3 linked regions of the Canis lupus familiaris genome follow. The protein of the gene in region 1 purifies or fractionates together with the protein of each later gene. This does not show direct contact. Links are inferred from orthologs where the notes say so. Each region holds a gene or a part of one and is shown on either strand. Other genes may lie near its edges.

Region 1 (3,500 bases):
GAAATTCATGCAAATATTCAGTAACTGCTTAACTCATTAAGTGCTAACTATAAATGAGACACTGTGATGAGTGCTACGAATCCAAGAGACTATTATTCCTACTCCTAATAGCTTAGAGCTTTTAACTTCTCACTATAGAAAATGCCAATTATCTCATATTTAATATATGTCTTAAAAAGCTGGAAGTTTTAGATTATAGTACAATACATAAGGTAAATAATATCAAGCTATGCTTTCATTGTTTGCTTCACTGACCTAAAAAATTTATACACAGTAATACTCTGAAGAAGGTTGTAAAAACTTACAAATGTGAAGTTCTGCAATTTTGAAGTTAATGAAATGACCAGGAGAAACTTACTGTGGAAGGTGAGAATCAACTACCAATCACTTTATATCTGATATGTAATACGGTATGGGTTTCACTGGACTAGTATGTAAAATATACAATGTTCACATGATAGAACAAAATTAATTGCTGGCTTAGATTTTATAGGGTGGGTATCCTCATCTCTTCAGAAGTAACCGATGTAAAATGTAATCCAAATTAAGTTTTTAGTATTCCAAAACTATTTTATAATTTTAAAAGCTTACTGTCTCTAGCCAAAAGCGATCCAGGTCACTACGTCTCTGCTGCTTGTTCAATGTAATTAGCCATCGTCCTCCTCGTTTGTTTTTCTCATCTTCCCACATAGGCTCAATACCATCCTACAAGGTTAGTAAGTAACAATATTAGACAAAATTGTTATTTTAATTGAAGAGATCACTAGAAAGAGCAAGCAACAACTCTGTCAACTTCTTGTTTTTTTCTCTTCATAAAACTGCTATTGATGTAGTGGGGGAAAAAAAGCAGGCAGGCCTTAAATCCAGAGGCATGGGACTACAGAATTAAGAGTCTTGATATAGACACTTACTAGCTATCAAACCTTGAGTTTCTTTTGAGGTTTTTAAACACTGAGTAGCAGATACCCTTGAGAAGCTACATACATGTCTATGATCTAGAAAAATACATGCAAAAATTATGCAATTTCAGGGTTAATGAATGCCCCACCTCCTACCACTTGACAAAACTGATTTATAAATACCCCAAAGACCAATACATCCCAGGTTAAAAATTCTGACAAACTCCAGCCTACTCAAATATATAAAAGATACTGGACTGGATGAACAAAGCTCTCTTCAAAAATCAATCACACTGTGTGCCCATAAAGTAAGACTCTCAATTTCAATTATTTATAGCAATAGGGCAAAATTTGTTTATGTGAAAGCCCAGTAAAACTAATTTAATTATTCTCCAAACCTCAGAGCATTAACTATTCCTAAGTTTCTGACAAGATTTCTTAATGAGTAAATGAACAGTCCAGTCTTGTAATAAATATATGAAATTGCCAGTAAAAGCATACCTTAAAAAGTGAGTAGTCACAGCCAGGCATTAAATTACTAGACAACTGGATGTGGTTGTACAGACTAGGTAAAAGAAAAGGACAATTATAAACATAGAATATGTAATGCAGTTTAGGTACCTACATATACATTTAGAAAATATGATAATAAGATAAAAGTTCATGTTTACTTGTTCTTCTACTGAGTCAATTTCTTTAATGCATCAAACAGGTATCCTAACGGTCAGTTCAAGAATCAGCATTTGATGATTTTCAGGAAAATATGTTTAATAATTTTATTCTGATAAAAATATATTTTGATATATTTCTTAACTCAATGCATACATATGTATATATAAGAAACTGGGAATAGGAAGCCTGAGGTGGCTTTAAGTACATGAAAGAATTCATGAGGCTAATGAGCAGTTTTAAAGACACACACACAAAAAAAATCCAGAGAAAGTAAGACAAACTTCCTATCAAGGTTACATGATTGAAAGAAGACAACACTATTATCCTTGAAGGTATCCTAAACAGACCAATGGGTCTCAAATACTGCAGTCACTACTAGTCAGTCAGCATAGCAATCATTTGGGAAGCTTTGGAAAAAAACAAACAAGCAGCAAACAAACAAAAAACCACACCAGGCCCTACTCCTTGTGATTTTAATCCCTTAAATATGGGCTAGAACCCTGGAATCTGTATTTCTAAACTTTCCCCCAAATATCAATGTAACTTGGATATTCACTAGCCTGAAAGTAAATATTAAATGCAGAAACATGATCTTTACTACATCTGCAGACCATGGACAATGCTACTATTATCCTTAGTTAGATTCTCTTGATGTTATTTTAACCCAATCTAGAAATATCTCAAGTAGAGTTTTAAGAAAGATTCTGGCATCCTTTGGATCACATCCCACAGGATAACATATAAATCCAGTTTGGGGAAGGTAGAGGAGGACTGAGACCTGTTTAATTACTCAATGGTCACTCTTCCCAAACTACATTACCACTGGCAACTACCACTAGGCAACAAATGAGGCCTGGGTTAGTAACCATAGAATAAGCACAACTTTATGAAATTAATGGACTGTCTTCAATGGCATCCAAGGTAGAAATGACCAATGTTTATGTTGTCTCTTTTCTCCGTTGTGATGCTCTAAGGTCTCTTAGTTAAGTTTATAGTAATGAGAATCTGTAATGACATATTTAAATAGAATCAGAAAACTACAGACAAGACTAGATAAATCCCAAAGGGCTCAACAGCTGTTCACCACAAAATCTGCCAGGAAAAAAGTGAGAAATGAGTAAGTGCTTAGGTATATACAGAAACCTAAACAATTCCTTCATATGTCTAAGTCCACTATGCAGTAACATTGCTTGTACATAACTAAAGTGTGGGGCCATGTTCTAATTAGAGGTCCACTTAGAAACTCAATTACGAAAATTGGTGAAAAGCCAAACAAACTAGATAAACATAGACCTGATTCAGTGGGGAAATGGTTCAAGACTCTTGCTCTTCCTCCTCTATTAGGAGACTGGAGACTTTTTGGTTTAGAAGATTCAAGTAAATACAATTAAAGAAGAAAATCACTTAATGTTTGATGAAGGGCAAAAACCCTCTTTAGACAATTAAATCTGTGAATTACTGGTGATTTAAATATAGTTTCATTACTTAAAAAAAAAAAAGCCAATGATTTCAATATAAAGTGACTGCTCTTAAAGCGTATAGCTCACAATTTAAGAGTTTTCTCTAATTAGTCTATACTCCCCACCCCCCACCCCTGCCCGGGGATTTAAATGCATACTAAATGCCTATTATATGGGCAAATCACTGGAAAGATACAAAAGAATATTGTCTCTACCCTGGAAGAAGTATAGATATATGAATCTTCTGACAATCTGTTCTTTTGTGTGGGCAAAATACATTCAGTGGATTAATATATAAGAAATGCATCACTGATTTAACATATATAGGATCCAAAAATATACTAGATGTACAAACTAGAATTTTTAGATAACTGCTAATTACTTAAACCTCTTAAAAAGGTTTTAACAAGTTTTATCTTTGAAATAAAAATTATTTTTCAAATAAATTAAATATTAAGTTAATTGTTTT
Region 2 (4,126 bases), on another chromosome or scaffold:
GGTCACACTGAATTGGAACCAGCACTTGACCATGAATCAGAACTGTGGGTTATGACCTAGCGCTGAAATTTGGACAATGCCCCCAGTGATATGGACTCAGTCTTGACTATAAATTGGGGAGGGGAAGTTTGAACTACATAATCTCCAAGAGCCTTTCTAGTTCTATAAATCCCCTAGTCTGTAAACACATTGCAAAAGAAAAAGTCCTGAAGTAGACAAAAAGAGTGTCTCAGAATCTATACGATTCACTTTGTAGCAAAGGCCCCTGGTCTTTTTCTCAAAACTATTCTATTCATAAATCTTCACAAACTTCATTATCAGCCTTCCCATCCCATAACACACCAGAGGCTGTAAATCAGAAGGTGCCAACAAGTGACAGCAAGAGACAGCTGTCATCTCTCTGCTACAGCAGCCACAAATGACAGTCAACAGGCAAGAAAGCAAGTGGGAAAACTCTAAAATTAGAGCCCCCAAACTCCAAGCACAGTATTTTAGTGCAAGCAAACACCCACACTCACTAAATCACTTATTTACGGCACAGGACAAGTGACATGCACGATGCTCACCCTCAATCACCAGAGATTCATTTCATCAGCTCTATTTTTTAAAAGGCAAGAAAAACTTCAAAAGTGTTCAAATGTTGACAGATACAATCTTATTTATGGTCTATGTGGATTTCTGTCCCTCTAAGCCAGTGGTTTTCAACCAGGGGTAATTTTGCCCTCGGGGCCATTTAGTATTGTCTGGAAACACAGTGGTTGTCAAAACTGTGGGGATGCTACTGGCATCTAAAAGTTAGTGGAGAAGGACACTGCTGAACATCCTACAGTGCAAAGAACAGCCTGACAATAAATTATCCAGGCCCAAATGCCAATAGTGCGGAGATTGGCAGACCTTGGTTTAAATCCACGAACTGGGCCGCTGGCTCTGATCTCAGGGATTTTTCTAATTCCTTGTCCCTTGAAACATCCTCTGCATGCTAGACGGCAGCGGTTCTCTGATTTATCTGTGTGAGGATACTAGTTTTCAAATTTAGCAGATTTTTGGTGGTGGTTGGCTTTCCAAAAGAATTATAGGAAGGAAGGACAGAAGGAAAGAAAGGAAGGAGAGAAAACCTTCTGGAGAAACCAAATACGCAAAGTTAAAAGAAGTGGCAGGGGATCCCTGGGTGGCGCAGCGGTTTGGTGCCTGCCTGCCTCTGGCCCAGGGCGCGATCCTGGAGACCCGGGATCGAATCCCACATCGGGCTCCCGGTGCATGGAGCCTGCTTCTCCCTCTGCCTGTGTCTCTGCCTCTCTCTCTCTCTCTCTGTGACTATCATAAATAAATAAAAAATTTAAAAAATATTTAAAAAAAAAGAAGTGGCAGGATGCCTGTGTGGCTCAGTGGTTGAGTGTCTGCCTTCCGCCCAGAGCATGATCCGGAGGTCCTTGAATCGAGTTCCCCATCAGGCTCCCTGCAAGGAGCCTGCTTCTCTCTCTGCATCTCTCATGAATGACCATATAAATGAATCTTTAAACAACAACAACAACAAAAGTGGCACTACTTTAATGGGGGAAGGAGGGAGGGAGATGCTCCCTTCCCCGAGATCTCTAAACTCTGCGGGCCTAGAAACCTGTGGACTAGTCGGTGTCACTAAGGCTGCACCTTGACGTACATCAGAAGCTCCAGAAATGACAGCAACGTGGATGAAGGCACATGCTTTAATTCTCTGAAAACAAACACTTCCGCGGAGTTTCTCGTGGTGAACCGCGTGCCTACTATACTCCGGGCGGTGTGCTAGCACTAGAAACACAGGGAACAGAACAGGCATGGCCCTGCACCCCCCACCCCACCCCGGGAGCCTGCATTCCAGCGGCAGACACACAGGAACAGATGAATTTACACACCCACACACATCGTGTGAAGTTCCAGAAAGGGGGGGAAAAAAAAAAAAAGCACAGAATGCAGTTGACGGCTTATTCCTAGGAAAGTAGCTCTTGGTCTGTCCCGCCCTCTAAAGTCGCCAGAGAACATTCTGGGAGTTCTGCTTCTCGCAGAGGGAGGGGGTCCCCTAAGAGCCTGGGGAATTTCAAAGACCAGGCAGTGCAGGCGGATGGTGAGAAAGTGCAAGCATGACAGCCTTCCCCGCCCTCAAGGACCAAGCGGGAGTGGGCATCGGCTCCGCCCCGCCGCATCTCCAAACGCGGCTTCCAAAGCGGGGGCTTCCGTGGTCTCTGGGTTTGGGGAGCAGCCGGCCCTTCCCAGCCTGAGGCTCGGCCGGAGAGCGGAGCGGCGGCTGGGAAAGGGGAGCGTGGAGTGACCCGGGAGGCCGCAGGTACGTGCGGGGCTCGGCTCACACCCCACCCCCACCCCCACCCCCGAGAATTCGGCCCTCGCCTCGACCCGAGCTGCCAACGCCCCCGCCCCAGGGCAGTGCCCCGCGGACCCCCGAAACCTCTGCACCGCGGGGGCCCGGGAGCGCGGCTGCCGCCCCTTCTCCGGCCCCTCCCACGGTAACTGTGGCCCGACGCCGTCAGGCCGCAGGCGCAGGGGGCAGGGAGGCCCGCGTGGGCGGGGGGTCGGCCAGGCCCGGGCCTCGCGGGGTCCCGGACCGGCACCGGGGGCCGCCTCCCCGCACCTGGGCCGGGGCAGGTGGTCGTGAGGCCCGACGCGCCGCGCGGGGCCCCGCCGACGTGGGCCCGGGCCTGGCACCCGCCTGCCGGGACGCGGGGCCGGTACCTGAGAGGGCGCGGAAGAGGCGCGCGGCCGGCAGCAGCAGGTAACACAGGCACGACGCGATCATGGCCAGCCGCCGCGCTCGCGCCCGCGCCCGCCTCCGCCTCCCCTCCTCGGCGCCTCCCGCAGGGTCTCCCTCGCTCCGCTCGGCCCCGCCCACGGCCCCGCCCCGGCCCCGCCCCCGGGCCGGCCCACGTGGCTCCGCGGCGCTTCAACAACAACTTTATTGGGAGCGCTCCCTCGCTCCGCTCCGCTCGGCCCCGCCCCTGGCCCCGGCCCCGCCCACGGCCCCGGACCGGCCCACGTGGTTCCGCGGCGTTTCAACAACAACTTTATTGGGAGCGCTCCCTCGCTCCGCTCCGCTCGGCCCCGCCCCTGACCCCGGCCCCGCCCCCGGCCCCGGCCCCGCCCCCGGACCGGCCCACGTGGCTCCGCGGCGCTTCAACAACAACTTTATTGGGAGCGCTCCCTCGCTCCGCTCCGCTCGGCCCCGCCCCTGGCCCCGGCCCCGCCCCCGGCCCCGCCCCCGGGCCGGCCCACGTGGCTCCGCGGCGCTTCAACAACAACTTTATTGGGAGCGCAGCGGCACGCGCGGGATTCGCGAGGGCGGGGAGCCTGTTCCCGCGGCAACGGGCGGGCGCCCAGCCTGAAAATTAAGCGAGGCTCGTTGGAGGCCGCGCGGTATCATCCCAGGGCCACACTGTCATTCCCCCTCTGCCATCTCAGTAGGAGTCCACCTGGGGCGCCCCATAACCTCTCGCCCCACAGATGACGACTTTGTCTCAGGCCCCCGCAGCCCTGACTTCTGTAATCTCTCTCCGCATCCCAGGGAGGATGCGCCTTCTTGGGAAGAAGAATTTATCCCTGTTCCTGACTCTACTGTCTTCTCTAGGTCACTCAGATTCTAGGTCCCAAATTAAGTCCACACCTTTGTCTCCTTTTCCATTCTATTCCAAATGAGCCTTCTTTTTACCTAATCTGGGGGGAAAAAAAAAGAAAAGAAAAGAAAAAAAAAAGGGCAGGTGTCCAGTTGGTAATTGAGTCAGGAAAAGTGGGTGGAGCAGGGGTGGGAAGCTCCACAAGGCAGGGACCAAGTCTGGTAGGTGGGCTGGTTTTCATTGAGGTGCCCCTCTAGTGCCCACAACAGTGTCAGGCACACAGTAGGAGCCAAATCTGTGTTGACCCAACAAAGCAGGTGTCACTGAATGAAGGCCCGGTCTTCTGTCAATTCTGTGCTACCCGAAGACCTCTTGGAGTCTCTCTCTTCCCCCATCCTTACCCCTCAGTCCTACCCCGGCCACACTGGGATGCAAGGACGGTGTCACACTGCCAAGTTCAGTACCTAGTGTCTGAGTTGTGCGATTGCTGATTTGTGGCTGGAGCCTCGGTTGCTCGGGGAAGCCCTCCG
Region 3 (4,140 bases), on another chromosome or scaffold:
GCTCCAGGCATTAGGGGGCGACGAGGAACGCCTGAGCCCACGGTGGCTCCCCCCGCCCCAGGTCTCCGCCCCCAGCCCCCTGCCCCAGGAATCTGCCCCCAGCCCGCAGGCGCGCTCACCTGTCTCTCACTGAGCTGCAGCATCTTGGCCAGACGCTTCCTCTCGGGAGGAGAGAGGTACTTTTGGGTCTCAAACTTCTTCTCCAACTCGATGGTCTGGTCGTTGGAGAACCTCACCTGGCCGCCTTTCCTTTTATGCAGAGGCCTCTGCAAGAAAGGGCTCCAGAGCAGGGGTTTGCCTACAGGGCAGCGAGAGCAGAGGTTAGTGACAGCCCTGGAGCCGTCAGGCCCTGGGGGTGACAAAGGGGAGGAGGGAACTAGACGGACCCTCAGCCGAACTTGTTCACACCCATCCATACAAGGACCCAATGCGTTCCCCCCAAGGCACATGCATACCTGGAGACAGAAACACCCAAAGGCACACACATCTACATTGCATGTGCACACAGACCACCCTTGTACACTCACAGATGCAAACTGCCATCACACCCATAAATGATTTCAAACGCACAAGTCTTTTGATCCCCAAAAGAACACACACTATAAATGGAGTTTAAAATACCACGACACTCCTTAACAAGTCTCTCTGGAATTTATACACAACTTTTTGCACCTCTAGGCCCTCTCTCTTGGTGAGCTGCACTTTCCAAACACCCGAGTGTGTGTATGTTGGGGGGGGGGGCGTGGACTGCTACACTACCCGAGGTGTTCTGGCCAGGTGCCGCCGCGGGGAGCCCACTTGGGAAGCCCTGGGGCCCGGGTTCGTGGAGCTTCCAATCCTGGCTCCAGGGCGCTGCGGCCTCCTCCTCTGATTTCACACCCGGCGGCGGGGGCGGCCAGTTAAAGCTACCCCGTGGGCTATGGCAACATTTCCGTCAATGTGTTTCCTGTTGGTCTATCTCGAAAAGCCCTTTGCTTCCTCCTGCGCGGTCCCAGCAGTAACCCAAGGAAACCCAGGGCGCGCTCTGTGACAACGTTCGCCCCCGACGCGGCCCGACTGAGGGTCCCGCTCCCGCCCCAGCAGGCGAACGGAACCACGCCGGACAGGAGCCACCGCACCAAACCCTCGAAACTGGGATCAAAAATATGATAACTTAAAAAAAAAATACGTTAACTTTTTTTTTAAGGAGTTAAAATATAATCCCCTCCAAATCTTAACGATGAGAAAAGAGGGTGGAGGGCTGAGCTAAAGGCCTCATCATAAACGTGAAGACATTAAAATTTTAATTAAAATGTTACGTTGTCTCTAGGGTCCCCAAAGAAGCTGCCAATAGCAGAGAGTAAATCTAAAACCCTGGCGGCCCAAGGCAAGGAGCCCCGTTTCTTTATGCCCCCGGGGCTTCCGATGCCGGAGCCGCCAAGGGCCCCTCGGGAGTGCGGATCCCCGTCGGCTTGTTTCTTAGGCCGTGCGCTGAGGGACGAGCCCCGCGAACACCGTAAGTCCTAGGTGTCTTCCCCGCCTTTCCTACTCCGAAGACCTATCAGTCAGTCCGTCCGTCCGTCCGTCCGTGGGTCTGCAGGCCTGCCCCCAAACACTTTGAAAGCTGGCATTGTTTTTTTTTTTTCTCCCAGATTTTGCTTACGTCAGGCTTCAGACTAGTGCAAAACAGCTTCGGGGGCGGGGGAAAAAAGGAAGCAACTGGTTATTTTAGCTGCCATAAAGTCACATCCCACACAGAGGAAATGAACAATATCAGAAAAACGGATCCCGGCTATCAGAAGTCGAGTGTTTCCTGAATTTGTCTGTATTGAGGATGTCGATAAAATAATCAGCAGCGTGCACTACTCCGGGGGAAGGGTCTGCTTCATGCAGCCAGGAAAACACTTAACAGCTTCTGAAACCAGATTTACTCCTATCGAGAACTCAAGATTTCCTGTATGAACGGAAAGGGTCAGGCTCTTTCACTGCACAAGCTTGTTGAACCAGGTTCAGCCTCGTAACCACCCGGGCCCAGCAGCTATCCCTGCCCCGCAGGGCCGGCCCGGGCGCCCTGGCACTCCCTACCCCGTCCCTCCAGCTAAGGGGACCCCACCCCGAGCGACACGCGCGCCCCGGGGCTGCCTTCGGCCGCCAGCCCCCGCGGCAGTGCCAGAGGTCTCGCCCGGGCCCGCGCGCCCCGACGCCTGCAAGGTGCAGGAAAACCAATCTGAGTCACGGTGCGGTCGGCCCCGGCAGCGCGCCACTGGGGCACGCGCCTCCTGTCCCTGCGCGCGCCCGAGGGCCGCTTTTCGATCGCTTTTGCCACAACTTTCTATTGCCTCCCCCTCCGCCCCCGCCGCCTCCTGGACGCTGCCACCTGCCGGGTGGCGCCTTCCTCGCCGCGGCCGCGGCTCGGCCCCGCCATGACCCCGGCCGCCTTACCCAGGGGGTCGTGGCGGAGCAGGGCGTGCGTGTAGTCGTTCACCGTCCTTGGGAAGGGGTACAGAGGGCCCCCGAAGCCGCCGGGTCCGTAGGCGGCGGCCAGCGCGGCGGCGGAGTGGTGCGAGAAGGCGGGATGGATCGGCGTGGGCTCGTACACCGGGGTCCGGTAGGAAGACACGAGGCTGGTGAAGGAGGAGTTGGGGGACGGCAGCGTGGGGGCGGGGGTGGGCGCGGCGGGCCCGCGGCCCAGGATGTCCTCGATGTAGAACGGCGTCGGGTGCGCGGGCTGCAGCAACGGCGTGGGCGCGTACAGCGGCACCCCCACGGCGCCCGCCGCCGCCGGCCCGGGGTGTGGGTACTGCATGGCTCCGCTGCGCTCCGGCCCCTCGCAGAGCTGGCGGCCCGCGCCCCGGCGCTACATTTATCCGCGCTCCGCGCTCCCGGCGATAGGCTCCGCCGGCCACGGGGTGGGGCCGCGCTCTCTGGCCCCTTCCTGCCGCCTGTCCCTGCGGCCAATGGCGCGGAGCCCCGGGAGCCGCCTCCCGCCCCCACCCTCGGCCCGCCCCCGCCGGCCGAGCTCCCGCCCCCCGGGACGCGCTGGCTCGCCGGCTCCCAGGACCGACCCGCGCCCGGGTCCCCGGCCGCCGCCGCCGTCGCTCGGGGCGGCGGGCACCCTGGCCCCGGAGCGCTCGAAGGGAAGGAAGCCCAGGGCCACGTCCGTCGAGGGGAGACTCGAGGAAAGCAGCGCTGGAACACGGACTCCCGTGGGCCCGGCCCGTGCCGGGAGGCAGCCCTGCCGAAACTCGAGGGGCACCGGCCCAGGCCCAGGCCCGGCCCCGGGGTGGCAGCAGTGGACCCGGCGCAGGGCAGCCGGACTCGAGCCTGGCGGGCGTGGAGGCACTGGCAGACCGCGCCGTCGCGGGCCGAGAGCATCCCCCGTGTGGGCGCGCGCCCTGGAGTGCCGGTGGCGCTGGCTGTGCCCGGGCGGCAGCTCCGAGGAGAGAAACCCGGCCCCTAGCTAAGGCCCAGTTGGGGTGAGGACGCCTAGGCTTGAAGCGCTCGGCCCTCGCGGCCGCTCCGTCCCGTTTCCTTGGTGGGCGGGCCCCAGCCCTCAGCCGCTCCCGTGAGGACGCTTTCGGGGAGGAATCCGGGGAAAGCCCGGGTCTTAGATGCCACGTAGAAGTCGTGCGGTCTTCGCCCACCCAAAGGGGGTTGCCCTAGGTCCCCTGTCCCCGGGCCCCGGGGGTCGCAGCTGCGCGCAGCACCGCTCTCGCGTTTACACGTGTTTTCTATTGAATCCGTGGCGCTACCCCTGCGGCCTCGGCTCCGTGCAGCTCCCCTCGCCTGCGGGGCAAGGGGGCATTTTCTTGATTGACGCCCTCCTGCGGTCGTCACACCTCGCGGTGAGCAGTTTCTGCTAAGGTCCTCCACTAATCGTGGAAATGCACATTTCCCAGCTTTTTCTATTGAGGTTTTTAATTTACGTCTAGGAACTATTTCTCCGACTAAAGCGGGGTCGCAGACGAAAGAAGAGTGGACTGGAAGCTGGGTGGCCCGAGTTCGAGTTTCACTGCGCACATTTCTGTTGAGCAACTACTGTGTGTCAGCAGTGAACAAGACAGATGTAGTAGTTCCTGTCCTCACGGAGACAGGAAACAAATTTTAATGCTGTGACTTATGTGTGTGCTATGAAGGAGAAGTACATAATGATCTGAAACC

The links. The genes of interacting proteins can lie anywhere in the genome.
Region 2: the proteins of EIF4E (region 1) and ANGEL1 purify together in Homo sapiens (affinity purification with mass spectrometry; 3 studies listed by BioGRID and IntAct, counting the BioPlex papers as one, with this or other methods). This does not show direct contact. The link is inferred for Canis lupus familiaris from reciprocal best matches to the Homo sapiens genes EIF4E and ANGEL1.
Region 3: the proteins of EIF4E (region 1) and HHEX purify together in Homo sapiens (affinity purification with western blotting; 3 studies listed by BioGRID and IntAct, with this or other methods). This does not show direct contact. The link is inferred for Canis lupus familiaris from reciprocal best matches to the Homo sapiens genes EIF4E and HHEX.

Annotation. Positions count from the first base shown.
Region 1 is NC_049253.1:18,844,960-18,848,459, reverse strand, and holds part of EIF4E (eukaryotic translation initiation factor 4E), read right to left. Parts: intron 1,465-3,500; coding exon 1,401-1,464; intron 706-1,400; coding exon 592-705; intron 1-591. UniProt on the Homo sapiens protein: Acts in the cytoplasm to initiate and regulate protein synthesis and is required in the nucleus for export of a subset of mRNAs from the nucleus to the cytoplasm which promotes processes such as RNA capping, processing and splicing.
Region 2 is NC_049229.1:49,998,920-50,003,045, forward strand, and holds the start of ANGEL1 (protein angel homolog 1), read right to left. Parts: upstream 2,801-4,126; 5' UTR 2,786-2,800; coding exon 2,722-2,785; intron 2,646-2,721; exon of another isoform or gene 2,621-2,645; intron 2,318-2,620; exon of another isoform or gene 2,072-2,317; intron 1,786-2,071; coding exon 1,648-1,785; intron 1,007-1,647; exon of another isoform or gene 895-1,006; intron 1-894.
Region 3 is NC_049249.1:7,235,507-7,239,646, reverse strand, and holds the start of HHEX (hematopoietically-expressed homeobox protein HHEX), read right to left. Parts: upstream 2,801-4,140; 5' UTR 2,786-2,800; coding exon 2,422-2,785; intron 299-2,421; coding exon 120-298; intron 1-119. UniProt on the Homo sapiens protein: Recognizes the DNA sequence 5'-ATTAA-3'. Transcriptional repressor. Activator of WNT-mediated transcription in conjunction with CTNNB1.